Linked DNA regions of Anolis sagrei. The protein of the gene in region 1 purifies or fractionates together with the protein of each later gene. This does not show direct contact. Links are inferred from orthologs where the notes say so. Each region holds a gene or a part of one and is shown on either strand. Other genes may lie near its edges.

What was found.
Region 2: the proteins of FOS (region 1) and STK40 purify together in Homo sapiens (affinity purification with mass spectrometry; 3 studies listed by BioGRID and IntAct, counting the BioPlex papers as one, with this or other methods). This does not show direct contact. The link is inferred for Anolis sagrei from reciprocal best matches to the Homo sapiens genes FOS and STK40.
Region 3: the proteins of FOS (region 1) and COP1 purify together in Homo sapiens (affinity purification with mass spectrometry; 4 studies listed by BioGRID and IntAct, counting the BioPlex papers as one, with this or other methods). This does not show direct contact. The link is inferred for Anolis sagrei from reciprocal best matches to the Homo sapiens genes FOS and COP1.

Annotation. Positions count from the first base shown.
Region 1 is NC_090021.1:305,108,991-305,119,344, forward strand, and holds the start of FOS (protein c-Fos), read left to right. Parts: upstream 1-6,295; 5' UTR 6,296-6,625; coding exon 6,626-6,766; intron 6,767-8,190; coding exon 8,191-8,433; intron 8,434-8,765; coding exon 8,766-8,873; intron 8,874-10,069; coding exon 10,070-10,354. UniProt on the Homo sapiens protein: Nuclear phosphoprotein which forms a tight but non-covalently linked complex with the JUN/AP-1 transcription factor. In the heterodimer, FOS and JUN/AP-1 basic regions each seems to interact with symmetrical DNA half sites.
Region 2 is NC_090034.1:85,122,840-85,133,609, reverse strand, and holds the start of STK40 (serine/threonine-protein kinase 40), read left to right. Parts: upstream 1-5,975; 5' UTR 5,976-6,084; coding exon 6,085-6,088; intron 6,089-10,770. UniProt on the Homo sapiens protein: May be a negative regulator of NF-kappa-B and p53-mediated gene transcription.
Region 3 is NC_090024.1:128,577,207-128,587,747, forward strand, and holds the start of COP1 (E3 ubiquitin-protein ligase COP1), read left to right. Parts: upstream 1-6,119; 5' UTR 6,120-6,217; coding exon 6,218-6,582; intron 6,583-10,541. UniProt on the Homo sapiens protein: E3 ubiquitin-protein ligase that mediates ubiquitination and subsequent proteasomal degradation of target proteins.

The DNA.
Region 1 (10,354 bases):
TCCAAGGCAAAGCTTCCAAAGACCAGGAAACATGTCTTGACTCAATTCCAACATTGCTCTGACTTTAAATACCACACCGCTGAGTAAAAATGTAAGCAGTTTATTGAAGAGATTTTAAAGGCAGTAGCAGTAAAAAACAAAACAAAAAAAACTCCATAGACATAGGTAAGTCCAATTAGGTAGAAAGATAAGCAGAAACAAATAGTTCAGGAAATTAGTCCATCAGAGTTCATGAAAAACAAATGCAGAAACTTGAATCACAAATCAAACAAGGCACTTCGTACATCAATCTATCCAAGGCAAGGCTTCCAAGGAGCAGGAAAGATGTCTTGACTCAATTCCAACATTGCTTCATCTGACTACATATTCTGTACTTGGCACTTTTATCCCCAATCTACTCTATGTCCCAAGAGGCCAGGAATGTATTTCGTTTCAGCCTTGTCTCTGTTATCAATCTCTCTCTCAGTCTGGCAGAGCGCCTGAGAGATTGGTCTGTTTGCCTGTGCTGACTGAAAATATGCCTTTTATCTAATGGCTCATTAATTTCTGCAGCTGGCTCAAAGTCATGGGAATTCTCTGGTAGCAATTCAGGCCCTCTTCCAGGGACCATATCATCATCCCCAAACCCTTTAGGAACATTCTCACCAGAAAAGACACTTTGAACAGGAATCCCATTGCCATTCTCCATCAATAGCACCCTCATCATTAGACACATCATTAGATACATGAACCTAATTGTCATTCCCAACATCCAGAGTACCCTGAACATTAGATACAAGTACAGGCTGAATTCCACCACCTACTGTCTGTGACTCAAAAGTCTGCTATCCCATCAACATATTATTATTATTATTATTATTATTATTATTATTATTATTGGTGCCCCCAGTGGAGCAGTGGGTGAAACCACTGAGCTGCTGAACTTGCTGGCCGAAAGGCCGCAGGTTCGAATCTGGAGAGTGGTGTGAGCTCCAACTGTTAGCCCCAGCTTCTGTCAACCTAGCAGTTTGAAAACATGCAAATGTGAGTAGATCAATAGGTACTGTCCTGGCAGGAAGGTAACAGTGCTCCATGCAGTCATGCAGGCCACATGACCTTGGAGTTGTCTACGCTGGCTCTTCGGCTTAGGAATGGAGATAAGCACCAACCCCCAGAGTCGGACACAATGGGACTTAATGTCAGGGGAAAACCTTTACCTATTATTATTATTATTATTATTATTATTATTATTATTAGAAACACAACAAGATGAGTCCACAGCAAACACTCTGCTGGCTGTTGAATTTGATCACACTTCGGACACTTCCCAAGTGTCTAGGACTGTGTGATGTATCGGCTAATAATGTGTGCAGATCCCAGTAAGGTGGTCTTCTGCAGCTTGCAGATGGTAATTTTGTCAGTGCTGATTGTGTTTAAGTGCAGGCCAAGGTCTTTAAGCACTGCACCCAGTGTGCCGATCACCACTGGGACTACCTTTACTGGCTTGTGCCAGAGTCTTTGCAGTTCGATCTATTATTATTATTATTATTATTATTATTATTATTCAGAATTTAGACTGACAGAATTTTGGAGCATAATACTCCTGACCTCACAATTGTGGGGATAAAAAAGTATGGTTCATAGGTGTTGCAATCCCAGGCAACAGCAGGATTGAGGAGAAGCAACTGTAAAAGCTGACTGATATCAGGATTTAAAGATAGAATTGCAAAGACTCTGGCACAAGCCAATAAAGGCTGGGTGAAAAGGTGTTCCTGACCTAGTATATGACAGTAACAACTACTTTCAAAGCAAGTACAACACAATTAAACAGGAAATAACACTTTCAAACCAGAAATATATTTTTTCAAATGCATAGTTACTTATTATTATTATTATTGCTATTATTATGTATTGCCCACTTTTTCCCTCATCACTTAGAGCTGCTGACAATACTAAAAATGATACAATATACAATTTAAAACCTAAACACATAAACATTAAAATAGGACTATTAAAAATAGATAATTAAAACCATGCAAGTCACCAACAACCTATTAAAATTTGGGAAAAAACATTAAATCTCACTCTTACACAACATGCATCTTCTGAACCAAACTAGTGCCTAACATATCAGGGCAGAAGCATACTGGAAACCGGCTGGAGTAGAATTGTAGAATGAATGCAGTTTGACTCCACTTGAACTGGAGCCATGGCAGTTGAAAGTGGTATCAAACTGCACTAATTCTGCAGTGTGGGTGCGGCTCAGACAATACCCTGGATGGCTTCCAGAGGTTTCCTATAATTCAAGAAAGTGTTCTGTGTGACTCAAAAGTCTGTTTTCTTATCAGCAAACATTCTCCAACTAGTGGCTGCTTTGGTGATGTTTTCAGGCATACTGGAAACTTGGACTACATGATGTGATGTTACTGTCTGCAATTGGAAGCTGAGACTATTTCTATCCTTTCGACTATCTTTATAATATGGGGGCCAAAGTCTAAAACAGCTGGAGGGCCAAAATTTGCCCATGCCTGGTCTACACTGACCACATAATTCAGTTCAAACTACAATATTTGGCAGTGTAGATCCAGTCTGACAGGCCCCATAAATTGCCATATAATGCAGATTGAACTGGATGGTATGAGTTGACACTGTCCTATAATCCAGTTCAATGCAGTTCATCTGCATTCTGAAACTGCATTTAATGGCAGTGTAGATGAGAGCCTCAATCACCTTTCGGTCAGCCTAATTATAGGTATTACATAAACAGGGTTTTTGGAGTCCCCTGTGACCTCAGAAATGGGTCTGAAACCCCAGAGCTAAGAATTGCACCATCACTGTTTGAGCAAATGGCATGCGAGAGATTGCTGGCGTCCTTTCACCTGCATCTGAATGCATGATTAATACCAGGTAAAATGCTGAGCCAGCTGGAAATGAACTCAAGTGTCGTAATTCTGCCTAAGTGATTTATTTTCCCTTTGCATGAACTTGAACAGCCTCTGCGATGTCAGATGGGGATTCCCTTTAATTAGACCTGCTTTTCATTTTAACCCAGACTGCCCCTCCCAGCATTTCTCACCACTGGCTGTGCCGAACTGGGACTTGCAGTTCAACCACATTGGGAGGTGTGTCATTGCTCACCTTTGTCCTAGAAAGGTTCAAATGAAAAGTCCCAAATGAAAAAGAAAATAAATCTTCTCTATGGGTGCCTTTCCCAAGATATATTTGCCTACGTCTGAAGAAGTCATCCTCACCATTAATTTCTGTGCTGTTGTTCTATTGCGATATCCAGAGAAACCAACATAATAAGAACAACACAATACACCATAGTATAAACAGCTTTGCTAATCAGTTTTTATTAGTAACAAATTTGCTTAATAGGGGCCCTTCCACACAGCCCTATATCTCAGAATATCAAGGCAGAAAATCCCACATTATCTGAGTGTGGACACAGATAACCCAGTTCAAAGCAGATATTGTGGAATTTTCTGCCTTGATATTCTGTGGAAGGGCCCTGGATCCACACTCAGATATTGTGGAATTTTCTGCCTTGATATTCTGGGATATAGGGATGTGTGGAAGGGCCCATGTTACAGCAAGATCTACACTGCCATATAATGCTGTCACTGTATATAATGTAGTTCAAACTGCATTATAGGGGGTCTACACTGACCATACAATGTGGTTCAAATCCTAGGCCCCTTCCATACAGCAGTATAAAATTCACAATTAACTGGATTATATAACAATGTGGATTCAGATAATTCAGTTCAAAGCACATATTGTGGAATATCTGACTTGATATTCTGGGTTGTATGGCTGTGTGGATGGGCCCCTAGCAGGCATGTAGCCGGGGGGGGGGGGGGGGGGGGCTTGGGGGGCTTCAGCCCCCCCCCCCCCAAATTCTCATGGTGGTCTGCGAAAAGGCTTTTCTGGTACATTATTTAAACTGTTACGTTTATTCGTATCATGATCTGATCACCATGCTCAATATATCCCATATGCATGGGGGTATTGGGGTAACAATACAAAAGGTTTGCTAGGGTAGACCCTCTTTCACTCAGACTCAGCCCCCCCCCCTCCCCGAATCAAAATCCTGGCTACGGGCCTGGCCCCCTGGTGTAACTTTATAGTCAACTTCTGGCAGAAGCTGACCACAGAGTTGTATTGGAGGCCCCAGGGCCCTTCCACACAACCATATAACCCAGAATATCAGGGCAGAAGATCCCACAATATCTGCTTTGAACTGGTTTATCTGAGTGCATGGAGTGCCATTACTTTCCCGCAGAAGCGGTACCTATTGATCTACTCATATTTGCATGTTTTCAAACAGGAAGGTTGGCAGCAGTTGGGCCTAACAGTGGGAGCTCACCCCACTCCCTAGATTTGAACTGCCGACCTTCCAGTCAGCAAGTTCAGCAGCTCAGTGATTTAACCCGCTGCACCACCAGTGGGTTATGATACAGAGATCTAAATAGATGGAGATTATTTAAAGCCAAAACAAAAACAGCAGCAGCGATGGGACCTGTATAAATGAATGGAGGCATCTGCTCATATTTTCAATCTGGTATCACAATTACTAATACTCATGTTAGGGGGGGAAATGTCTGTAAGCTTGACATTGCTGACCCGAACTGGAAATGGTGTGGCTATGTACTCATATTGAACCTTGGCTCAGCATACCAAAGACAGATATGAGACATGGCAAAGGGAGTTGCTTGCAACTTGGGCCCTCCCTCCAGGTGTTTTGGACTCCAACTCAGCGACTGAGGGGGAAAAGGAAAGTGCCCGAGGCTGTGAGGAATGGTGGGAGTTGGAGTCCAAAACGCTTAAGCGGCTGTGGGGAGAAAGGAAAGGGCCTGAGACTGTGAGGAATGGTGGGAGTTGGAGTCCAAAAAACCTAGAGGGAGGGCCCAAGCTTGCCCATGCCTCGTCTATAATGTGTTTTGGTGCAGTTAGTAATCATTGGAAGCCTTTCTATAGCTCCACACTCCCAATATCTATGCTGTATGAGAGACATCCAATTATTTTCTCTTTTGGAAGGAGAGCGAGGGGACCTGAACATGAGGAAGAACTTCCTGACTGTGAGAGGTGTTCAGCAGTGGAATTCTCTGGCCTGGAGTGTGGTGAAGGCTCCTTCTTTAGAGGCTTTTAAAACAAGGCTGGATGACCATCTGTCGGGAGTGCTTTGAATGCGATTTTCCTGCTTATTATTTATTTATAGTGTTTATATTCTGCGCTTCTCACCCCGCAGGGACTCAGGTGGCAGATTACAATGCACATATACATGGCAAACATTCAATGCCATTTGGACATATGACATATAGAGACAGACACAGAGGCAATTTAACATTCCAGCTTTTTCGGCTTCATGAGGATATGCTCGATTCCGGCAACAGGGGGAGCTGCTGCTTCACCATCCACTTGTGACACGGAGTCCTTGATGGAGTACTTCCTCATTCTTCTGCACACTGCTGGAAGGTTTTATGGCATCGTAAATGCGTTAAAATAGCCTTCCCGCATAAAGCGGTACCTAAATTTCCTACTTGACAGATGCAACTGTCTTTTGGGCTGCATAGGTCAACAGCAGGGTTTGTAACCGAGGCGAGCCACGCGCACGCATAAAGCGATACCATAAATTTCCTACTTGACAGATGCAACTGTCTTTCAGGCTGTATAGGTCAACAGCAGGGTTTGTAACAGAGGAGAGTCACGAGAACGCATAAAGCGATACCTAAATTTCCTACTTGACAGATGCAACTGTCTTTCGGGCTGCATAGGTCAACAGCAAGCTAGACTATTATTGGTCGGGAGCAATTTTCCTGCTTCTTGGATTGGATGGCCCATGAGGTCTCTTCCAACTCAAGGATTCTATGATTCTATGATTCTGTGTCCTATATAGGATATGGTTTTAAAACCCTTTAAGGTGAAATCGACCTGTGTGTGGCCAAACCCTGCAAAGGTCGTCCACCTCTGCTCTGGCGGACAATTGGTGCTCTGTCCCTTTAAGGCGCCACTCCTCGGGTGTCTGGTCAGCACTAAAGCGGGCAGCATCTGCATGCAGAACCCGTCGCTGCGGCTCTTGCCGCTTTCGCTCCCCCTAGCCGTCGCCACAGGCACGCACCAGCCCTTTTGGCCGCAGCCCTGGAGCGCTTCCCGGCAGTCACACCCCTCTTGGACAGGATGTATGCCATATAAGGATATTTACGTCAGTGGGTTCCCGAGCCTGGGCCGAACCATTTCGGGAGCGGGGGCGGAGCCTGACGCGGCGCCCGGCTCTTAAAAGCGGCCCGCCGCGGAGGACGCTTCAGGCAATCATCCCGACGCCGCCGTCAGGGTTTGTCGCCGAGGAGAGCCACGAGCACGCTTTAGTAACCCATTTCGGGGCGTCCCTCCGCCGCCCCTCTCTCGCCGCCTCCCCCCGCCGAGGTGGAACCTTCCAGTCGTGACGTCCGTTCATTCAGAAGTCCCACCGCAAGAGGATAAAAGGCGGAGGTGCCGCTCTTTTTACTCCAGAAGCAGAACTAAGCAGTGAGGGGAGCAGACACAGCAGACGACGACGACGGGCTTTGCCACTCCGAGAGGCGCTTCTTTCGGGAGAATTGAACCGCCCCGAAAGGACACGGAAGGGTTTGTGTCAATCCCCGAGATGATGTACCAGGGCTTCGCCGCCGACTACGACGCCGCTTCCTCCCGCTGCAGCAGCGCTTCTCCGGCGGGGGACAGCCTCACCTACTACCCGTCTCCGGCAGACTCTTTCTCCAGCATGGGATCGCCTGTCAACGGGCAGGTGAGCGAGAGAAGGACGCGGGGAAGAGATTTTCTGGGGTTGGATGGGGCGCCTTGAAAGGCAGGCGAAGTGGGTCCCTTCTCCCTTCCTCGCTCGGACTCCAAAGAGCTGATGTTTCCTTATTGGATGCTTGATGGATATATAGCCTTATGGAACATTAAATATTATTATGACTATTAATATTATTGTCTTATTGGATGTATGCTCCTGTCTTGTTGCTTTGAGTCTCCTTTAGAAGGGGATAGAATAATAATATAATATAATAATGTAATATCATAATATAATCTTACTGGATGCATGGTCCTGTCTTTTGCTTTGAAGCCCCTTTAGAAGGAGATAGAATAATAATAATAATAATATAATATAATCTTACTGGATGTATGGTCCTGTCTTTCGCTTTGAGCCTCCTTTAGAAGGGGATAATATAATACATAATAATGTAATATAATAATATAATATTACTGGATGTATGGTCCTGTCTTTCGCTTTGAGTCTCCTTTAGAAGGGGTTAGGATAATAATAATAAAATAATATATTATAATATAATATTGACTTATAATCTATTATAATATTGACTTACTGGATGTATGCTCCTTTCTTGTCGTTTGAGTGTCCTTTAGAAGGGGATAGAATAATAATATAGTATTAATAAAATAATAATATAATATAACAATATAATATAATTATATAATATATACATATATTATATAATAATATAACAATACAATATAATATTTATATTATCTATATTATATCATTATATTATATATAATACTACATATATAATCATAATAATATACCAATATGATATAATAATATTTATATTATTTCATTATGTTATATATGATAATATTATATTAATATATTATAATATAATACAAAATAATAATCGTGCCCTATATATTCCCAATTCCTTTGTTCAGAAAAGGCATCATTGGCCATAGAATTAAATGTATAATCTTACTGAAGGTATAGACGAGTCTTAAGGGGGGGGAATAATAACAAATGACATTTATTATTGGTAGTAATATGATTATTATCATCTCCCGTATCGCCCTACATATTTCCCTTTGTTCAGAGGAAGGCACCACTCAGTATGGGGTTATATAGAGGCAGGGGCGCGGGTGATTGGCGTTTTCTCTTTTTTTCTCCCCCTGCTGACACGCGAAAGAAAAAAAAAAGATGAATGGGGAAGGGGCGGGGGCGCTCTCGGCGCGCGCGTAAAAAGCGGCTCCATTGATAAAAACGCGGCTCCATTCAGGAGACTCCGGAGCGGCGCTTGCGTCAGCGCGGACGTCAGAGATATTTATAGCCTGAGCCCCGTTCGCTCGTGCGGAGCCTGACGATGGCGGGCGACGGTGGCCTCGCGGCTCCAAATAGCGTTTCTGGAGACTCTGACCTTTTTGCTTTGCCTCCTCCCTTAGGACTTCTGCGCCGACCTTTCGGGTTCCAGCGCGGGCTTCGTGCCCACGGTGACGGCCATCTCCACCAGCCCGGACTTGCAATGGATGGTCCAGCCTACGCTCATCTCCTCGGTGGCTCCTTCCCAGAACCGCAGCCACCCTTACGGCCTGCCCGCCCCGCAGACGGGAGCCTTTGCCAGGGCAGGACTAGTCAAGGCAGCCAGCAGAGGGACCAGCATTGGGCGCAGAGGCAAAGTCGAGCAGGTAGGTCCAGAGAGACAGCACGCCTGCAGGAGGAGCTGCTAAGCAGGTTTGAGCCAACCTGGGTCCTCCAGGGGCTTTGGACTCCAACTCCCACCATTCCTAACAGCCTCAGGCCCTTTCCTTTTCCCCCTCAGCCGCTAAGGAAAAGGAAAGGGCCTCCTGAGGCTGTTAGGAATGGTGGGAGTTGGAGTCCAAAGCCCCTGGAGGACCCAAGTTGGCCCATACCTGCTGTAGATGCACTCCCACTGCCCTAGGAGTCAAATATGAAGTAGAGTTGAGCTATATCTCTTTCTTTCTGGAGATTAACAGCTCTGTTTTCCCTCTTTTTGCAGCTGACGCCAGAAGAGGAAGAGAAGCGGCGAATTCGCCGTGAGAGGAACAAGATGGCAGCCGCTAAGTGCCGCAACCGAAGACGCGAGCTGACCGACACCTTGCAATCGGTGAGTCTTTCTTCTCTAGGCCTTTCCCCAGTCCTCCAGAGGTTCTCTCTGTCTCTCTCCAGGCATGGGCAAACTTCGGCCCTTCGGGTGTGTTTTGGACTCCAACTCCCACCATTCCTAACAGCCTGGAGTTGAAGTCCAAAACATACCCAGAGGACCAAAGTTTGCCCATGCCTGCTCTAGGCCTTTTCATGGTCATCCAGATGGGTTGTTGTAGGTTTTTCGGGCTGTATGGCCATGTTCTACAACAGGGGTCCTCAAAGTAAGGCCTGAGGGTCGGATAAGGTCCTCCAAGGTCATTTACCCAGCCCTCGCTCAGGGTCAACCTAAGTCTGAAATGACTTGAAAGCACACAATAACAACAACAATCCTATCTCATCAGCCAAAAGCAGGCCCACACTTCCCATTGAAATACTAATAAGTTTATATTTTTAAAAATTATTCATCATTTTAATTATTGTATTGTTTTTCAGTGTTTTTTGCACTACAACTAAGATGTGTGCAGTGTGCATAGGAATTCAAATTATGTTTTTCTCAAATTATAATCTGGCCCTCCAATAGTTTGAGGGACTGTGACCTGGCCCTCTGTTTAAAAAGTTTGAGGACCCCTGTCTAGAAGCATTCTTTCCTGACGTTTCACCTGCACCTGTGGCAAGCATCCTCAGAACCATATAACAAAGAATTCCCCTAGGCAGTAACAAGCAACACCTAAAAACTGTCAGGTCATCAAATCAAGGTGGCCAATTGAAACATTTACACTTAGCTCTAACAGACAAGAGTTCTTTCTCCCACCCTGGATCTTACACAGAGACATAAACTCAATTTTCCTAGTTTCCAACAGACTTCACAACCTCTGAGGATGCCTGCCATAGATGCAGGCAAAACGCCAAGAGAGAATGCTTCTGGAACATGGCTATACATTTATATTGTTTTGTATTTTATTTTATTTTTAATTTTATCATATTTTACTCTATGCTTTGCTGTACTGTTGGGGTTGGCCTCATGTAAGCTGCTCCCTTGGGGAGATGGTGGTGGGGTATAAATAAAGTATTATTAATATTATTCTGCCCGAAAAACCTACAACAACCCAGTGATTGCGGCCATGCAAGTCTTTGACACTCTTATTGTCCTTCAGATGTTCTCTTTGCCTCTCTCTTTCCATTGCCTGACTCTCTCTCTCTCTCTCTTCTCTGCAGGAGACTGACCTCTTGGAGGAGGAGAAGGCCTCCCTCCAGACCGAGATCGCCAACCTGCTGAAGGAGAAGGAGAAGCTGGAGTTCATCCTGGCCGCTCACCGCCCGGCCTGCAAGGTGCCCGAAGAGCTCCGCTTCCCGGAGGAGATGGCTGTGGCCTCCGTATCCGCGCTGGAGCTGCTGGCCGGGGGAGGGGGCCACTCGGTGGCCTCTTCGCCCCAGGAAATGGGGGAGGACGAGGAGGAAGAGGATGAGGAAGAGGCGTTCGCGTTGCCTCTTCTTCCGGAG
Region 2 (10,770 bases), on another chromosome or scaffold:
CCAACTTTCTGTCTAAATCTTTCTTTACCTTAATGACAAATAATTGTTAGCCACCTTGAATACCTATGGGGAGAATGTGGTATATACATTTAATAATAAACAATTAATTATTGTTACCCATCTTGAATTCCTATGGGGAGAAAGGTAGAATATAAATTTAATAAATAAATAATTGTTAGTGTTCTGGAACAGCTGTTCCAGGAGCTCCAGATTTATTTGCTGTGTTTAAATGTTTGTGTGCAATCCCATGCTTGGGATTTTGCAGCAGGGGGTTTCCAGTTATAATTTGCATTTATAGGGTAAGCCACCTGCCAATTATAGTTAGGATTCCTGGTCCTGCCCCTTTTTTGCTTTTTGGAGGGAAGGGAGCCTTTTCCAGTCAGTCACAGCAAGGTTAACCACTGTATAGGATGTGTTTACTTCCCCTGTACAAAGGCTTCAACCTTTAAGAGCTCCAGGGAAAGAACGCCAGGGAAGCATTCCCACAGCTTTAAAGGTCTCCTAAGAACTCCTGGGATTCCTTCCTACAGCCTTGGGAGTTTCCAGGAAGACAGCCAACTCTACAGAATATCCATCGCCTGTCTGATAGATCCTCTCAGTGTTTTGAGAAGCAGTTCGGCCTGGCAGAGGAGTCCACACCAGTGAGGGTTGGATTTTTGTTAGCCTTGGGAGAAGTTAAAAGGGGGAATTTTCCTTTGAAGAAAGTTATTGAAGATAGTGCCTGTTCTCTGCGGACAAGTTTGAGAGAACTGATACTTTAAAGCTTTACAATTCCTGTTTGATTCATTAATAAAAGACTTTGTTGTGCCTTTTAAGCCATTTGAAGATTCCTTTTGTAAAGGAAGCCTCTGAAAACTTTTCCTAGGGCCCCTGGCTTCCCACTGGGTAAAGGTTACACATCCTATATCTAAAGTCAACTAACTATAGGCCCAGCGGTGACAGAACAGTTAGGCACCTTGAATTCCTTTAAGGAGAAAGGCAGGATATTATTATTATTATTATCATTATCATCATAATCTATATCAGAGGTCCTCAAACTTTTTAAACAGAAGGCCAGGCAACTGTCCCTCAAACTGCTGGAGGGCCGGATTATAATTTGAAGGAAAAAAAATGAATGAATTCCTATGCACACTGCACATATCTTATTTGTAATGCAAAAGGCACTTAAAAACAATACAATAATTAAAATGAAGAACAATTTTAACAAATATAAACTTAGTAGTATTTCAATGGGAAGTTTGGGCCTGCTTTTGGCTGATGAGATAGGATTGTTGTTGTTGTTGCTGTTGTTGTTGTTGTGTGCTTTCAAGTTGTTTTCGACCCTGAGCGAGGGCCGGGTAAATTACCTTGGAGGGCCGTATTCGGCCCTCGGGCCATAGTTTGAGGACCCCTGATCTATATAAATAAAATGTAATGTTCGTTTGTGGGATTAACATAACTAAAACCAACTGGACGAATTTGAACACAATACACCAGCAGGCCAGTGAGTGACCATCACTCATAAAAACAGTAAAAAAACACAGCAGTAGAGATTAAAAAAATACATTACAATGGATGTGCAAAACCACAAATATATACGCAAACATACATATATACTCACATACACAATATATATGTATACACACACACACAACACATATACACAGACTGGGCCACAGAAATGTGTGGCAGGGAAAGGCTAGTTAATGATAAATTGTTAGCCACCTTGAGTTCCTATGGGGAGAAAGGTGGGATATACATTTAATAATAATAATTTTAGCATTATCATTATTTATCATCATTTTCTGCCAATCTATATCATGAGAGCCCAAGGTGGCAGGCAAAGGCATGAAATCAATTTAAACAATAGAAACAGAATAACTTTATTGCCCTTGTACAGTGTAAAACAAAATGTTTTCCCCAGCACACATCAACAACAACACTCCCACCTCACCCTAACCGCCCCCCAATGGTACATCAATGGGAAGCCATGGAGTTCAATATAGTTACAGCTCTATGATAAAAGCTGTCTCTCAGGCTCCTTCCACACAGCTGAATAAAATCCCACATTATCTGCTTTGAACCAGGATATATGACAGTGCAAACTCAGATATTCCAGTTCAAAGCCGATATTGTGGGTTATTCTGCCTTGATATTCTGGGTTATATGGCTGTGTGGAAGGACCCTCAGTCTGTTTGTCTTTGCATACAGGACACCCATGACAATTAGATTCATCATAGTTTGTGGCAGCCACACAAACAAAGTATCTGGAGGAGAACAACTACATTCAAAGTAAGGGCCACACAATTAAACAGGAAATAACACTTTCTAGCCAGGAACAGATTTTTCTTCTCCAATTTGGTTTCAGAGTGTGATTCCAGGTGGGAAGTTCTGACCAAAGCAGGAGATCACAAGAGGGCTTTATTATGATTATTATGTTTATTATGTTTATTTATACACCACGTTTTGTCTCCACAAGGAGGCTGTGGGCCCTTCCAGACAGGCCCTATATCCCAGGATCTGATCCCAGGTTTTCTTCTTTAAACTGGATTATATAAATCTGCACTGCCAGATAATCTGGGATAAAGAGAAAACCTAGGATCAGATCCTGGGATATATGACCTGCCTTGAAGGGCCCTTCCAAACAGCCATATAACCCAGAATATCAAGGCAGATAATCCACAATATCTGCTTTGAACTGCATTATCAGAGTCCACACTGCCATATAAACCAGTTCAGTGTGGATTTTATACAGCTGTGTGGAAGGGGCCAAAGCAGCTTACATTTCAATAAAATTTCAAATCTACAAATAGATGAAACACTACAACAGAATTAAATATCATTGGTATTTCTTAAAGCAGGCATGGGCCAACTTGGGCCCTCCTTGTGTTTTGGACTTTAATTCCCACAACTCCTAACAGCCTACCTACGGGCTGTTTTCACAGCAGGAGCCTGGATTTGCTGAAGAGAAGCAGAGGACAAAGAAGGGAAGAAAAGCTCATTGAGCTGCGTTGAGGTAGAGGTGGAGGGAAGGAAGGAGGGCTGGATGCCGAGGGGAGGCTTCGGGGCTGCCTATTGGCAGCTGTGTCTTTTCTGGAAGAGTGGAGGCAAGGGATTCTCTTACCTCTGCTCTTCCAGGCAGCAGCCGCGCGCTCCCACCGCTGCCTTCACCTCCTCTGAGAAAGAAGAAGAAGTAAGGGAAGAAGAGGAGAAAGGGAGAGGAAAAAAAGAGGGAGAAAGAGAAGAGAGAAAGGAGGAGGGAGAAAGATAAAGATAAAGAGAGAGGAAAGGGGGAGAAACTGAAACGGGGAGAAGGAGAGAGAGCTTCAGGGGGAGACAGAAAGAACAAAAGGAGCTCTGCGTTAGCAGAGCCAAAACTGATTTCACTAAGACGCAGGCCTCCTCCTCGGCGGGCCGGATAAATTCCCTCGGGGGGCCGCATCCGGCCCCCGGGCCACAGTTTGGGGACCCCTGGTATAGAGCTATAGGATCAAAGCGTTGGAAGGGATTTGGGGCCCTTCCACATAGCCATATAACCTAGAATATCAAGGCAGAAAATCCCACAATATCTGTTTTGAACTGGAATATATGACCTTGAAGGAGCTGGGGGTGGTGACGGCCGACAGGGAGCTCTGGCGTGGGCTGGTCCATGAGGTCACGAAGAGTCGGAGACGACTGAACGAATGAACAACAACAATATGGTAGTATGGACTCTGTCTGATTGCCAGATAGAAAGACACAATCAAAGCCCTCCCAACAGATGGCCATCCAGCTTCTGCTCAAAGACAGTTGGAAGAGACAGGAATCCTAGAATGAGAATTATAGAACCCTCAAGTTGGAAGAGGCCCTAAGGGGTTGCCATAAAGGAAGACACCATGCAAGACCTCCCGACAGAAGACCACCCAAGCTCTGATGATAATAATAATAGAATCTAAAAGTTGGAAGAGATCCTTCTGCCAGGAAGGAAGACACAAAGCCTTCCCGACAGATGGCCATCCAGCCTTTGCCTTTAAAAAATACCCAGAAACAGGAGGCCTCCCATGTGTAGGGTCACCATGATTCAAGCTTAATGGCAGCTAGCAATAACACTGACAAGTCATGTGTCAGCAATAACCCCGCCTGGGGTACATTCACTCATGCACTTTTGACTGCCTTGGCTCCATGCTATGCCATTCCGGGATTTGTAGTTTGGTGATGCCCCGGCAGTCCCCTTTTGGCAGAGAAAGCTAAAGGCTTTGTAAGACTGTTTGTTTATTTAAAACATTTCTATTCCGCCCTTCTCACCCCAAAGGAGACTCGGGGCAGAGCACAGCATATATACGGCAAACATTCAATGCCGGGACAAGAATTTATATGCGCATACATAAACATTAAAAACATTTATCTCAATATTAAAACACACCATTTAAAACCGTCTTAGTCATCTCCGTTAAATCGGCCTGGTAATCTTTCCTATTGTTGCTTTATTGCCCTGTCCCGAAAGCTTGGTCCCACAGCCAAGTTTTTACCATCCTTCTGAAGGACAGGAGGGAGGGAGCCGATCTGATCTCACCAGGAAGGGAGTTCCATAGCTGGGGGGCAATCACTAAGAAGGCCCTGTCTCTCATCCCCACCCATCGCACCTGTGACAATGGCGGGACGGAAAGCAGGGCCTCCCTGGAGGAGCTTAATCTCCGTGATGGTTCATAGGAGGAGATGTGTTCGGACAGATAAATTGGGCCAAGTCTGTTTAGGGCTTTATAGGCTAAAGCCAGCATTTTGAATTGTGCCCAGTAGCAAACTGGCAGCCAGTGGAGCTGCCGTAACATGGGAGTTGTATGCTCCCTGTATGCCGCCCAGGGCCGTAGCCAGAAAAAAAATTCGGGGAGGGTTGACAATTTTGGGGGAGGGGTTAAAAATTTGGGGGGGGGGATTGAAAATTTCGGGGAGGGTTGACAAATTTTGGGGGGTGGGGGTGGGATTGAAACCTGCCTCCTAGCCCACGCTGAAGCAAAGAGCACAGCAGGGGGCGGAGCAGCCTTCCATAGCCTGCAGCTCCACCCCTGTCAACCACCTCCACCAAGTCTGGCCTCCTTAATGAGAGCATTCAACACACAAACCCCCAACTTGGTTGCTTCACTACATCGGCTATTGCTGCAAGTAATGACAGTGTGAATAAATTGTCAATATTTGCTTGAGATAGTGCTTACAGTTCTGGAGGGACTCTTGAGATAGTGCTTACAGTTCTGGAGGGGGGGGGTTGAACCCCTAAAACCACCCCCTCGCTACAGGCCTGATGCCGCCCGTTATTAACCTGGCTGCCTCTCGTTGGACTATTTGAAGCTTTCGAGCAGTCTTCAAAGGCAACCCCACGTAGAGTGCGTTGCAGTAGTCTATCCTGGATGTAGTGAGAGCGTGGACCACCGTGGCCAAGTCTGACTTCCCAAGGTACAGGCGTAGCTTGCGCACAAGTTTTAATGGAATCATGGAAGACTATAGCTTCCATGATTCCATAGCCTTGGGCCATGGCAGTTCCAGTGGGGTCAATTCAAATGTGTAGGTGCACCCTTTCTCTTGGACCAAGCATGGGCCAACTTGGGCCTTCCTCCAGGTGTTTTGGACTTCGATTCCCACCATTCCTCACAGCCTCAGGCCCTTTCCTTTTCCCCCTCAGCCACTTAAGCCTGAGACTGTTAGGAATGGTGGGAGCTGAAGTTCAAAACAGCTGGAGGAAGGCCCAAGTTGGCGCATACCTGGTCTAAGGCATTTCAGAGAACAAGGGATGCTCCATTGGTACCCAGTTCTATTTAGTGATGCAACCCACCTCCTGTCAATCATAGTCAGGATGGGCGGGCTCTGCCTACTCCTCTCGACCAATCGCAGACGCCCTAGAACCCCTCCTTTAGCCTTTCAGCCAATCAGAGGCAAGCCGCGAGGGCGAAGGGATCCCGGAAACAATATGGCGGCTGGTGGGAGTGAGAGGGAGGCGTGGCGGTGATGAGCGGCGGCGGCGGCGGCGCAGTGACGTCGGTGTGGCGTCACTTCCGTTGTCAGGTGGCGGAGTCGGTGCGGGACTGGCGAGACGTCGGACGGTGGCCGGCGGGGCCGGGCCCGGAGGCGGCGAAGATGGGTGAGAAGGAAAGGGAAGGCCATGGAAGAAGGCCCGGCTGGCAGGAGGGCTATCTGTCGGAAGGGCTTCCTGAAAGGGCTTGTTATTGGGTGGCCTTCGAGGCCCCTTGTCATTCCAACGGAAAAATCCAATGAGTCCCCTTCCTTCTCTGGGGGATTTAAAGCAGAGGCTGGATGGCCATCTGTCGGGAGGGATTAGATTGTGCCTTCCTATTTGGCAGAAGGGGGTTGGTTTGGATGGTTCTTGGGGTCTCTTCCAGCTCTAGCATTCTGTAATACCGTATATGTATTATATATCATGTATATCTATCTGTTATCTCTCTTTCCGACCGACAGGTCGCAGGTTCGAATCTGGGGAGAGGCGGATGGGCTCCCTCTATTAGCTCCAGCTCCTCATGCGGGGACATGAGAGAAGCCTCCCACAAGGATGATAAAAACATCAGAAATCATCCAGGCGTCCCCTGGGCAACGTCCTTGCAGACGGCCAATTCTCTCACAACAGGAGCGGTTGCTCCTGACGCAACAAAAAAATAAATCTCTTTCTCATGGCCATCTGTCGGGAGTGTTTTGATTGCGTCTTCTCACCTGATAGATGAGGGTTTAACAGTAGCCTTTGGGGTCCCTTCCAACTCAAGGATTCAGTGATAACAATATTTTTGGTGACCATGGAGTCTCCCTCTGTCTCTGGAGGTTTTAAAGCATAAGCTGGATGGAGGGATTGGATTGTGCCTTCTAATGGCACAAAGAAAAGGGTTGGACTGGATGGTCCTTGGAGTCCCTCCCAGCTCTAGGGGTTTATGTTTCTAAAGGAGAAGATGCCTCTTCGAAAGGGCCTGGCAGGTGAATGCCCTGGAGGACATAGCTGGCAGGATGGCCATCTGTGGGAAGGGCTTTGAGTGTGGAGTTGGGCTGGATGACCTTTACAGAGGGGACTGAGGTGGAGTCCTTTACGAAAGAACATGGCTGGCTAGGCGGTGGGCTGAAGTGGAGGAACAAGGTTGATTACTAGTTTAATGTTGACATGTTGCAGGTGTTTTAGATTGCAGTTTGTATTGTTTTTAGTGTTGCAAACTGCTCAAAAATAATAATAACACCATCTAACCCGGTGTTTGTCCCTGGGTTATAAATGGCATTTCCACATTGGTTCTCTCATCAACACATGTGGAAAGTTTAGTAAACTGCAAAAAATATTGTTTTTTACGGGACATTCTGCGGCACATTTTGCTATCGTTTTTCAATAAATATCTCACAGAGTCTCAACCAATTCAACCTAGTTGGGGCAGCCACAAAAACAATGTTTATGGAGTAGAACAACTGCTTTGAAAGGAAGTACCGCACAATTAAATAGGAAATAACACTTTCAAACCAGGAACTGAACATTTTTCAAATTTTGATAGCATGTGATAGCAGCAGCAGCCCAAGCTCAGTTTGAATACCAATTTTGCTGTGGTCTTAAATGAACCCAGGTGATTCTGAGTGTTCATCTGTGTGTGACCCCTTGGTTTCATTCTCCAGCACATTTGTCCTCTATATGGTCTAGTTTAGTAGCCTAAACAAAACCCCAGTTGCCAAAATAGACACCCAGCATCAGTAAAATGACCTCTAGGAAGCATGAATAGTCCTGGACTCGGGAAGATAGAAAAGGGATGAGAATATAATGGGAGGTCTTCCTACAGTGAGAGAGGGAGACCATCCATCCGCAATAAAGCCTCCTTTGTTTATTGGATCACCTTTTTGGGGAAAGAAGCACCTTCTCATTCCTCCCTAAATTGTATGTACACTTAGATTTGTAAACAAAGAAATACTGAGGCTTTCCTCGCCCCTTATACATTTACCCCTTTTGTAATGATAACACAATGTAACAAAATTTGGGGGGGGGAGTCTGTTCTTGGTTTGATGTTCTTTACAGATTAATTGTGCAGAACTTATTGGCTGCCACAAACTGAAAAATTCACTGAAAAACACTATTTGCAGTTTAATAAATATTTTCCATGTTTTTGTGACTGAACCAGTTAGAAAATAACATTTACAACCCGGGGACATAAATCGTGTTGTAAATCTCTCCCTAAAATGTGGCTGTGTCTCCCTCCCCCCCTTTAAATCAGTCTAAATCGTTTAGACCGAACAAGGTAAACAACCGGCTTTTTCTTCTTCTTCCTTTCTCTGCACTTTCTTCTTCCCAGCCACACCTCCCGTTCTTGTGTCTGCACTTCCTCCTCTTCCCCCACTTGCGCTTGCTTACTTAAAGTGTACATCCAGCCAAATATATATATAGCCCTCCCTACGCTATGCCTTCCAGAGATCATAGATAGATAGATAGATAGATAGATAGATAGATAGATAGATAGATAGATAGATAGATAGATAGATATCCGATCTCTGGAAGGCATAGGGCAGGGCTAACACTCCTGTGGAGTTTCCTTTGCTACCTGTGTCCTTGTTCAGAAGGTTTCACCTTGCTTTCTGGTCGTATAACAATTGGATTTTGAAAAATGTGGCTTGTTCTGGGAACAAGGTTTGGTGAGAAAACTTCAGTGGAGACCCCTTTTCCCCATGATAATAACTCTTCCAAGAGTGGATTTGCCTTCCTTCCAAGGGCTAGATTCCTCTCACTTCCTGTTGTCTCAGGCCTGTTCTTATCTAGGAGTTGTTTGTAAGTCAAATGTTTGTAACTCGGGGACTGCTTTTATATAGGTGCTTACAAACAGGATCAAGGAAATCCCAGGCTAAGGGACAATACATTGAAGTATAGTTTAACCATGTTATGTATTATTTTAATTCAATTTATTTAAAATTTCCATTGTATGTTTTTAAGTCACTATGGAGTGCTATATGTAAGCTGCCTTGAGTCCCCATTGGGGTAGAGAAAGGCGAGATATAAATAAGGTAAATAAATAAATAAGGGTTTTTCAGGTCTTATGCCAATGTTGGTGCATAGAAACTTCAGGTGCTGCCATTTCCCTTCAGATAAGACATTTAGGAACTGGCTGCAAGTGTGCTGATAATGTTGACTCATCTTTCAGTCATTGTTTTAAATGCTTTTGCTTCTATGCATAGTTTAATTGCAGCATATGGTTATCTTCCTGTCTTTGTATGTGCTTTTATACACATCGGGTTTCATTTTTGTGAACCTGCTGCCCAAGAGTCTGATGGAGATTGGATGGCCATTTGTAGGGAAAGCTTGGATAGTGCATTCCTATGTGACAGAATGGGATTGGACTAGATCAGGTCTCTCCCAACTCTAGGTTTCCCTTGTATTTACAGTGGCTGCTCCTCAGTGATGCCACGTGATGCTGATAGGAAGATGTGTGTGTGGGAGAGCATCTGATTTATGGGCATTATGAATATATTTGGCAAGTATATTTTCTGCTTGAGGTCTTTAATTATGGAGGAGTCAGTCAAGTTGTGAGCTAGCGATGATGGCGAAATCAGGGTGCTAAAACTCTGATTCTCATAGCCAATGGATGTGGCTTCTGATATCTCCCTGCAGTGCATGATAGAGGAGAGCATGGACAGAACAATGGGACATTGGTGCATTGGTTTGCAGGGTGATGTACCAGCAAACCCTACTGAATTATGTGACACGCCCATGTCATCAGGAATATTCCCATCCTGACCTTGGAGGTGTGCACCTGGAGAAGGGAAGGTACAGAGGAGCACAGTTTATATGCAAAAGTACATATAAAATTATATGTGCCGTGTATATGAGCAGAAACAAGCAGCAGCCCTCACTGGAGATTCTGAGCAACCTTAACCTCTCATGCCATGAGAAGTCACAGTATGATGCTAATTTTATTATTTTTTACTTTATTGAAATAATTACACTATGTAGCACAATTTTTGTTCCTGAGTTATAAATGTCATTTCCTAATTGGAAAAGGTGTATTAAACCTGGAAAAGGTGTATTAAACTCCAACATCCTTTTTTTTTTTTTTTTTGGGAAGGACATCCTGCAGCACATTTTAGGATAGTTTTTTAAAAATAAATATCTCATTGAGTCCTAACCAATTCCAACCTAGTTTTATAGCAGTCACAAAAACCAAGCTTCTGGAATAGTATAACAACTACTTTCAAAATAGGTGCCGCACAATTAAACAGAAAATAACATTTTCAAACCAAGAACAGATTCATAGAATAATAGAGTTGGAAGAGACCACATGGGCCATCTAGTCCAACCCCCTGCCATGCCATAGTATCCCTGACAGATGGCCATCCAGCTTCTGTTTAAAAGTTTCTAAGGAAGGAACTTCCACCACACTCCAATGCAGAGAGTTCCACTGCTGAACAGCTCTTACAGTTAGGAAGTTCTTCCTAATATTCAGGTGAAATCTCCTGTAATTTGAACCCATTGCTTCAAGTCCTAGTTTATAGGGAAGTATAAAACAAGCCTGTTCCCCATTCCTTATGACATACTTTCACATATTTATACATGGCTTTCGTGTCTCCTCTCAACCTTCTCTCCTAAAGGCTAAACATACCCAGCTCTCTAAGACACTCCTTATAGGACATGGTCTCCAAACCATTGATCATTTTAGGTGCCCTTCTCTGGACAGCTTCTAGTTTGTCAATCTCTTTTAAACTATGGTGGCCAGAATTGGGCACAGTATTCCAGGTGAGGTCTGACCAAACCAGAATAGAGGGGCACCATGACTTCCCTCAATCTAGACACTATACCCCTTTTGA
Region 3 (10,541 bases), on another chromosome or scaffold:
CCCAGAGGAAAAGTGTTCGTACCATACGACAAGGAAACCACTGACTGCAAAGAGTTGATGAAGAAACACAACCTACAAACTATCTATAGGGCCACTAAGAAAATCCAACAAATGCTTCATTCAGCAAAGGACAAGAGGGATTCATAGAATAACAGAGTTGGAAGAGACCTCATTGGCCATCCAGTCCAACCTCCTGCCAAGAAGCAGGAAGATTGCATTCAAAGCACCCCCGACAGATGCCATCCAGCCTGTTTAAAAGCCTCCAAAGAAGGAGCCTCCACAACACTCCGGGGCAGAGAGTTCCACTGCTGAACGGCTTCGACGGTATTTCGAAGGCTTTCATGGCCGGAATCACCGGGTTGTTGTAGGTTTTTTCGGCCTATATGGCCATGGTCTAGAGGCATTCTCTCCTGACGTTTCGCCTGCATCTATGGCAAGCATCCTCAGAGGTAGTGAGGTCTGTTGGAACTAGAAAAATGGGTTTATATATCTGTGGAATGACCAGGGTGAGACAAAGGACTCTTGTCTGCTGGAGCTAGGTGTGAATGTTTCAACTGACCACCTTGATTAGCATATAATGGCCTGACAGTGCCTAGAGCAAACTTTTGTTGAGAGGTGATTAGATGTCCTTGTTTGTTTCCTCTCTGTTGTTGTGCTGTTGTAATCTTAGAGTTTTTTAATACAGGTAGCCAGATTTTGTTCATTTTCATGGTTTCCTCCTTTCTGTTGAAATTGTCCACATGCTTGTGTATTTCAGTAGCTTCTCTGTGTAGTCTGACATGGTGGTTGTTAGAGTGGTCCGGCATTTCTGTGTTCTCAAATAATATGTTGTGTCCAGGTTGGTTCATCAGGTGCTCTGCTATGGCTGATTTCTCTGGTTGAAGTAGTCTGCAGTGCCTTTCATGTTCCGTGATTCGTGTTTGGGCACTGCGTTTTTATTTTAATGGCTTGTATTGTTGTTATTATTGCTTGTATTGTTGTATTTGGGCTTGGTCTCATGTAAGCCGCACTGAGTCCCTTGGGGAGATGGTAGCGGGGTACAAATAAAGTGTTGTTGTTGTTGTTGTTGTTGTTGTTATTATTATTATTATTATTTTTATTTTTATAGATGCTTTTGAACTGTGGTGCTGGAGGAAAATGCTGAGAGTGTCTTGGACCGCCAGAAGATCCAACAAGTCCATACTTCAAGAAATAAAGCCCGACTGCTCATCAGAGGGAAGGATACTAGAGGCCAAAATGAAGTACTTTGACCACATCATGAGAAGAAAGGAAAGCTTAGAGAAGACAATGATGCTTGGGAAAATGGAAGGAAAAAGGAAGAGGGGCCGACCAAGGGCAAGATGAATGGATGGGATCCTTGAAGTGACTGGATTGACTGGAAGGAGCTGGGGGTGGTGACAGCCGACAGGGAGCTCTGCCGTGGGCTGGTCCATAAAGTCACGAAGAGTCGGAAACGACTGAACGAATATTTATTTGTCGTGTCAGGGCAACCAGTCAATTGCATTACATTTCTAACATAACAAAACAGACAAACAGACAAAATACACAATTTGCGAGTTTGGTAGTTGATTAAATGTCCTTTGACCAGTATCTGGCCACTTGGAGTGCCTCTGGTGTTACTATAAGAAGGTCCTCCATTGTGCATGTGGCAGGGCTCAGGTTGCATTGCAGCAGATGGTCTGTAGTTTGCTCTTCTCCACACTCGTATGTTGTGGATTCCACTTTGTGGCCCCATTTCTTGAGGTTGGCTCTGCATCTCATGGTGCCAGAGCGCAGTTTGTTTAGCGCCTTCCAAGTTGCCCAGTTTTCAGGGGGGAGTCTCTCATTGGGTATCAGCCATTGGTTGAGGTTCTGGGTGTGAGCCTGCCACTTTTGGACTCTCGCTTGCTGAGGTGTTCCAGCGAGTGTCTCTGTAGATCTTAGAAAACTATTTCTAGATTTAAGTCGTTAAACGTCTGTCTGATTCCACAGCAAGCTGGCTTCAGGAAAGGCAAAAGCTTCACATTGCAAGTGTTGAACCTGACTCAGCACAGAGAAGATGGCTTTGAAAGGCAGCAGATCACAGGAGCTGTCTTCATAAATCTGTCAGCAGCCTATGATACTGTGAACCACCGCCTCCTCCTGAGAAAAATGTATAATATCATAAAGGACTACCACCTCACGCGCCTCATAGGAAACCTGCTACAAAACAGGAGCTTTTTTTGTTGAGTTCCAGAGCCAGAGAAGCAGATGGCGGAAACAGAAGAACGGCCTACCTTAGGGGAGCATGCTGGCCCCATCCATGTTCAACATTTACACAAATGACCAGCCACTGTCAGAAGTGACAGAGAGTTTCATCTATGCTGATGATTGTGCCATTACCACTCAAACAGGGAGCTTTGAGATGGTTGAACAGAAGCTCTCTGAAGCTCTAGGTGCTCTTACTGCCTATTACAGGAAAAATCAACTGATCCCTAATCTATCTAAAACACAGACATGTGCCTTTCACCTTAAGAAGAGACAATTATCCCGAGCTCTGAGGATCACCTGGGAAGGAATCCCACTGGAGCATTGCAGCACACCCAAATACCTGGAAGTCACTTTGGATCGTGCTCTGACCTACAAGAAGCACTGCCTGAACATCAAGCAAAAAGTGGGTGCTAGAAACAATATCATAGAAAGCTGACTGGCACAACCTGGGGATCACAACCAGACACAGTGAAGACATCCGCCCTTGTGCTGTGCTACTCTGCTGCTGAGTACGCATGCCCAGTGTGGAACACATCTCACCACACTAAAACAGTGGATGTGGCTCTTAATGAGTCATGCCGCATTATCATGGGGCGTCTGCGCTCTACATCACTGGAGAAATTACACTCCTTAGCCACTGTTGCACCACTTGACATCCGCCGGGAAGTAGCAGCCAATAGTGAAAGGACCAAGGCATTGCAGCAGGTAACATCTCCAACTCATCCCGTTTGGGTATCAGCCAGCACGTCAACGACTTAAATCAAGAAATAGTTTTCTAAGATATACAGAGACACTCGCTGGAACACCTCAGCAAGCGAGAGTTCAAAAGTGGCAGGCTCAAACCCAGCACCTCAATCCGTGGGTGATACCAGATGAGAGACTCCCTCCTGGGCACACCAAAGACTGGGCTACTTGGAAAGCGCTGAACAGACTGCGCTCTGGCACCACGAGATGCAGAGCCAACCTCAAGAAATGGGGCTACAAAGTGGAATCCATGACATGCGAGTGCAGAGAAAAGCAAACCACTGACCACCTGCTGCAATGCACCCTGAGCCCTGCCACATGCACAATGGAGGACCTTCAGGAAAGGCAACACCAGAGGCACTCCAAGTGGCCAGATACTGGTCAAAGGACATTTAATCAACTACCAAGTTTACAATTTTTTTCCTTTTTTAATGTTTGTTTGTTTGGTTCTGTTACAAATGTAATACAATGGTATGGCTGCTGATGACACGATAAATAAATAAATAACAACTGAACGAATGAACAACAACAACACAGTAAGCAATATAAAATGGAAGCTTTGGAAGCTTTAAAAGAGAGGCTGGATGGCCATCTGTCGGGGGTGCTTCTAAGGGCATATGCCGTGGCAATAAAGGCGGCAAAGAAATCTTTCTTTGCGGCCAATATTGCGTCCGCAAAGAACCGTCCGGCGGAGCTGTTTTGAGTTGTCAGAGGTCTATTAAACCACACCACTCCGGAGGGGAACCCTGACAACTCAACGGCCCGCTGTGAAGCATTTGCTCAGTTCTTTGCGGACAAAGTCGCTTTGATCCGTTCTGGCCTGGATACCATGTTAACGGCAGTCTCTGAGGATGTAACACGAGCACCTGCTTGTCCGATTTTGATGGATTCATTTCAATTGGTGAAACCCGAGGATGTGGACAAGATACTTGGAGGAATGAGAGCAAACACAGGCATCCTAGACCCCTGCCCATCCTGGCTCGTGAAGGAAGCCAGAGGGGGATTGGCCGAGTGGGTGGAAGTGGTGGTTAATGCCTCCCTTCGGGAAGGCAAAATTCCAGCCAGCTTAAAACAAACTGTAATAAAACCGCTGTTGAAAAAACCATCACTGGACCCCACTCAATTTGTCAACTATCATCCTGTTTCCAATCTCCCCTTTTTGGGCAAAGTCCTGGAACGTGTGGTGGCCTCACAACTTCAGGTATTCTTGGTAGACACGGATTATCTGGATCCGGCACAGTCTGGCTTTAGGCCGGGGCATGGTACCAAGACAGCCTTGGTCGCCTTAGTGGATGATCTCCGCCGGGAGCTAGACAGGGGGAATGTGTCCCTGTTGGTCCTGTTGGATCTCTCAGCGGCCTTCGATACCGTCGACCACGGTATCCTTCTGGGACGCCTCGCGGGAATGGGCCTTGGTGGCACTGTTTTGCAGTGGCTCAGGTCCTTCCTAGAGGATCGTACCCAGAAGGTGTTGATGGGGGACAACTGCTCGTCCTCACAACCATTGTCTTGTGGGGCCCCGCAGGGTTCAATACTGTCCCCCATGTTGTTTAACATCTACATGAAGCCGTTGGGAGAGATCATCCGGAGTTTCGGGGTGCGGTGTTATCTGTACGCAGATGATGTCCAACTCTGTCACTCCTTTCCACCTACTACTAAGGAGGCTGTTCAGGTCCTGAACCGGTGCTTGGCCGCTGTGTCGGACTGGATGAGGGCTAACAAATTGAAATTGAATCCAGAGAAGACAGAGGCACTCCTGGTCAGTCGCAAGGCCGAACAGGGTATAGGGTTACAGCCTGTGTTGGACGGGGTCACACTCCCCCTGAAGACACAGGTTCACAGCTTGGGTGTGATCCTGGATTCATCACTGAGTCTGGAACCCCAGGTCTCGGCGGTGACCAGGGGAGCATTTGCACAATTAAAACTTGTGCGCCAGCTGAGCCCGTACCTTGGGAAGTCTGACTTGGCCACGGTAGTCCACGCTCTGGTTACATCCTGTATAGATTACTGCAACGCGCTCTATGTGGGGCTGCCCTTGAAGACTTCCCGGAAGCTTCAGATGGTCCAGCGCTCGGCAGCCAGGTTGTTAACAGGAGCGGCACTCAGGGAGCATACCACTCCTCTGTTGAGCCAGCTCCACTGGCTGCCAATCCGCTACCGGGCACAATTCAGGTGCTGGCGTTAGCCTACAAAGCCCTAAACGGTTCCGGCCCCACTTACCTCTCCGAACGCATCTCCACCTATGAACCGACGTGGACGTTAAGATCAGGCACGGCTGGCGGGGACGAAGGACAGGGCCTTCTCGGTGGTGGCCCTTCGGCTATGGAATGCCCTACCTGTAGACATCAGACAGGCCCCTTCGCTGCTGGCGTTTCGGAAGAAGGTTAAGACTTGGCTCTACGAGCAAGCGTTTGGCTAAACGGTGCAACTGAACACAGGAAGACGGTAAAATTGAACATAGGAATGGCACAAGGATTATGAGAATGGATTTTGCTCTGTTATCGAGGCGTTATGAATTGATAATAATTGTTGATTTTGTTGCTGTGTATGATGTGTTTTAACTGTTTATTGTTGTGATAACCTGCATTGTGTAAACCGCATTGAGTCGCCTAATTTAGGCTGAAAAATGCGGTATAGAAATAAAGCAAATAAATAAATAAATAAATGCGATTTTCCTCCTTCTTGGCAGGGGGTTGGACTGGATAGCTCACGAGGTCTCTTCCAATTCTGTGATTCTATGAAATGCCAGCGTCCCCTAATTTTGGAATGACTTTTGAACCATTTTCAGCCCTAAAACACAAGCCTTCCTCCACGCGCTGACCAAATGTGATAGGCCGCTGTGGTTGCTAGGCTACCGCTGTCCAGCCCTCTTGCGCAGGCGCGTTGACCTTTGCCTGCTCCGTTACGACGTGACGACCCAAAAAAACAAAAACAACTTCGACGCGTTGAAGACGCTATGGAGGTTGCGCACGCGCAGTGCCGGCCCCTGAATCAAGTTCCGACGAGAAGGGAGGGTGTTGGGAGCCTCCGCCCCGCCCCTTTGGTTTGAGGGCGGGCGCAGGGGCCAATCAGGTGCCACGCACGCGCTCCCTGGCAGGCGTAGGGGCCAATCAGGTGCTGCGCACGCGCTCCCAAGCAGGCGCCCGTCCTCCTCCTCCTTCCTTCTCCTCCTCTGAGAGGAAGCCTTGGTGCGGCCCGCTCCCCTCTCGGAGCGTCGGGGGAGATGCGCTGAGCCGGAGCCGGGATGTCGGGGAGCCGGCAGCCGCCTCAGCACTCCGCGGCCGGGCCTCCTCCCCCGGGGTCCTCCTCCACGTCCTCCCCTTCGGTCACCACCTCGGCCTCTTCGGGCACTGCTTCGGCGGCTTCGGGCGCCTCGTCCTCTTCCGCCTCAGTGGGGCTGGGGGCCCCTGCGCGGCCTGTCTTGGTGGCGGCCGCTGCCTCGGGCTCTTCCTCCAGCAGTGCAGGCCTGGCTCGCCTGGCGGGGGGAGGCCGGGCTGGGAGCAGCGGCCCAGGCAGCGCCAACAGCAGCAGCAGGAAGAGGCCACTGCTGACGCCGCTCTGCAATGGCCTCCTGAACTCCTACGAAGACAAAAGCAACGACTTCGTGTGGTGAGCGAGGGGCGCCCAGATGGGGAAGGAGCGGGGGAGGGGGAGAAGGCTAGCCATTGCTTACCTGCCTCCTCTTCAGTTGCTACAGCGAGTCTTGGCCTTACATACACCCATCTTGCAGGTCACTCCTATGCGCCCCATCTTTGGTCCTTTAGCTCCCAGAATTCCTCAAGGTTTAATCTATCTATATATATAAATACTAGCTGTCCCCTGCCACGCGTTGCTGTGGCCCAGTCTGGTGATCTGGAAATGAAGTAATGAGAATGTGTTGGTTTCTAATATATGTGATTTCTTAATGTTTCTGAGTAAACAGTATTTCTTGCTGTTTCTTTGCCAGTGTTGATGTGGAGATTGTCTGGTTTGCCTACTCTGGAACATGTAACATATCATTGTCCTTTTTTCGGGGTTCCCTTTGAAATCTTTGGTACTGCATCTGTCATATGTGTGTGTGTGTGTGAATGGCTGGATGGCCCTTTGTCAGGAGGGCTTTGTTTTATTTACTTTATTTATTTACTTTGCTTATATATCGCTGTTCTCAGCCTGGGGGCGACTCACAGCGGTGTACAACATAGAAAGAACAAAATTCAACAATTCAAGACATAATATAAAATTCACATCCAGCATTAAACAAAAACATCATCATCAAAAACATCATCATCAAAAACATCAACATTACTACAAAAGCCATTCCGTGTCGTCTCATCGTCAAACCCACAATCTGGTATCATTTCCGTTGTTCCATTCCTATGGTCAAATTACCAATCACTTCTTGTTCAAATGCCTTCTTAAATAGCCAGGTCTTTAATTTCCTGCGGAATATCAACAGGGAGGGAGCTAGCCTGATGTCCACGGGAAGAGCGTTCCACAGCCGAGGCGCCACCACCGAGAAGGCCCTATCTCTCGTCCCCGCCAGCCGTGCCTGTTAAGCAGGCGGGATCGAGAGCAGAGCCTCCCCGGAAGATCTCAAAGTCCTCGTGGGCTCATAGGCCGAGAGGCGGTCAGTTAGGTATCTTGGGCCGGAACCGTTTAGGGCTTTATAGGCCAATGCCAGCAATTTGTATTGAGCCCGGTAGCAGATCGGCAGCCAGTGGAGCTGGTACAGTAGGGGGGGTTGTATGCTCCCTGCGTCCCGCTCCTGTTAGTATCATGGCTGCCGCCCGTTGGACCAGTTGGAGCTTCCTTGTTGTTTCTTTGCCAGTGGAGATTGTCTGGTTTGCTTTAGGGGTCCCTTTCAAATCTTTGATATACATCTGTCATATACACACATATATATATGTGTGTGTGTGAATGGCTGGATGGCGCTTTGTCAGGAGGGCTTTGTTTTGTTGCCCTGGTGAAGGGAGCTGGACTGGATGGCCTTAAGGCAGCATTTCTCAACCTGGGAAGTCAATACACCAAGGGGGGGGGGTCACCAGGGGGGTGTCAGAAGGGTCACCAAAGACCACCAGGAAACACAGTATTTCCTTTTGGTCATGGGGGTTTTGTGTGGGATGTTTGTCCCAATTCCATCGTTGGTGAGGTTTGGAATGCTCCTTGATTGTAGGTGAACTATAAATCCCAGTAACTACAACTTCCAAATGTCAAGGTCTATTTCCCCCAAACGCCATCTGTGTTTATATTTGGGCATATTGAATATTCATGCCAAATTTGGTCCAGATCCATCATTGTTTGAGTCCACAGTGCTCTCTGGATATATGTGAACTATAACTCCCAAACTCAAGGTCAATGCCCTCCAAACCTTTCCAGTATTTTCTGTTGGTCATGGGAGTTCTGTGTGCCAAGTTTGGTTCAAGTCCATCGTTGGTGGAGTTCAGAATGCTCTTTGATTGTAGGTCAACTATAAATCCCAGCAACTACAACTCCCAAATGACAAAACCATAATGTTTTGATTGATGGTCACTCCTTGTGTAGAGAGACATTTTGTTGCCAAATTTGGTGTGATTTTGCCCATTAGTTCTTTTGTTTTTAAGGTACTCATGCACAGAGCATATATAGATAGATAGATAGATAGATAGATAAATGTAATGTTTGTTTGTGGGGTTAACATAACTCAAAAACCACTGGACAAATTGATACCAATTTTAGACACAACACACCTTTCAGGCCAACAAGTGACCATCACTCCTAAAAACACTGAAATATACAGCAGAAGAGACTTAAAAAGCAAAAATATAAAATAAAATAATGCTACAACGCACATGCAAAACAACATACACATATGATGGTAATCTATAAAATAAAAATGTAATGTTCCTTTGTGGGATTGACATAACTCAAAGACAACTGGGCGAATTGACACCAAATTTGGACACAATATGCCCATCAGGCCAACGAGTGACCATCACTCAAAAACATTGATTTTGTCATTTGGGAGTTGTAGTTGCTGGGATTTATAGTTCGCCTACAATCAAAGAGCATTCTGAACTCTATCAACAATGGAATTGAGCCAAACTTTGCACACAGAACTCCCATGACTAACAAAAATACTGGAAGGGTTTGGTGGGCATTGACCTTGAGTTTTGGAGTTGTAGTTCACCTACATCCAGAGATCACTGTGGACTCAAACGATGATGGATCTGGACCAAACTTGGCCCGAATACTCAACATGCTCAAGTGTGAACACTGGTGGAGTTTGCGGAAAACAGACCTTGACATTTGGGAGTTGTATTTGCTGGGATTTATAGTTCACCTGCAATCAAAGAGTATTCTGAACCCCACCAACGAGAGAATTGGGCCAAACCTTCTATACAGAACCCCCATGACCAACAGAATAGACTGTGTTTTCTGGTGGCCTTCGATGACCCCACAACCCCCCCAGGGGTCCTGACCCCCAGGATGAGAAATGCTGCCTTAAGACCATCCAGTCCAACTCCCTTCACCAGGACAAGAAAACATGAACAAAGCCCTCCTGACAAAGAGCCACCCAGCCATAGATATAGATAAATAGATATTAGGCCTGTCGGTTTTAGTTCGTTAATTCGTTAATTCGTAATTAAATCGTTATTTTAACCATATCCGAAGCGATTTCAAAACATATTTTTAAACCCGGAAGGGTTTAAAAATATCGAAACAGCAGCCCCATTTTTTTTACGAGCTTCAGCTCGTGTCGTTAATGGGATGGCGGCTGCTGTGCTGACTCAGTGCTGGTGCCTGGGAGCCAATCCGGCGCTCCCAGCTTCTGCGCCCTCCTCCTCCTCCTCCCAGCTGATTTGCAGGAAGTGCGAGGAGGAGGAGGAGGAGGGCGCAGAAGCCGGAGCCCCCGCGCGCGCTCACCCGAGGAGGAGGAGGAGAAGGAGGGCGCAGAAGCCGGAGCCCCTGCGCGCGCTCACCCGAGGAGGAGGAGGAGGAGGAGGGCGCAGAAGCCAGAGCCCCCGCGCGCCATCCGGCTCCGGCTTCTGCCCCCTCCCTTCTCCTCCTCCCAGCTGATTTGCAGGAAGTGCGAGGAGGAGGAGAAGGAGGGCGCAGAAGCCGGAGCGCGCGCGGGGGCTCCGGCTTCTGCACCCTCCTTCTCCTCCTCCTCGCACTTCCTGCAAATCAGCTGGGAGGAGGAGAAGGAGGGCGCAGAAGCCGGAGCGCGCACGGGGGCTCCGGCTTCTGCACCCTCCTTCTCCTCCTCCTCGCACTTCCTGCAAATCAGCTGGGAGGAGGAGAAGGAGGGTGCAGAAGCCGGAGCCCCCGCGCGCGCTCACCCGAGGAGGAGGAGGAGGGCGCAGAAGCCGGAGCCCCCGCGCGCCATCCGGCTCCGGCTTCTGCCCCCTCCCTTCTCCTCCTCCCAGCTGATTTGCAGGAAGTGCGAGGAGGAGGAGAAGGAGGGCGCAGAAGCCGGAGCGCGCGCGGGGGCTCCGGCTTCTGCACCCTCCTTCTCCTCCTCCTCGCACTTCCTGCAAATCAGCTGGGAGGAGGAGAAGGAGGGCGCAGAAGCCGGAGCGCGCGCGAGGGCTCCGGCTTCTGCACCCTCC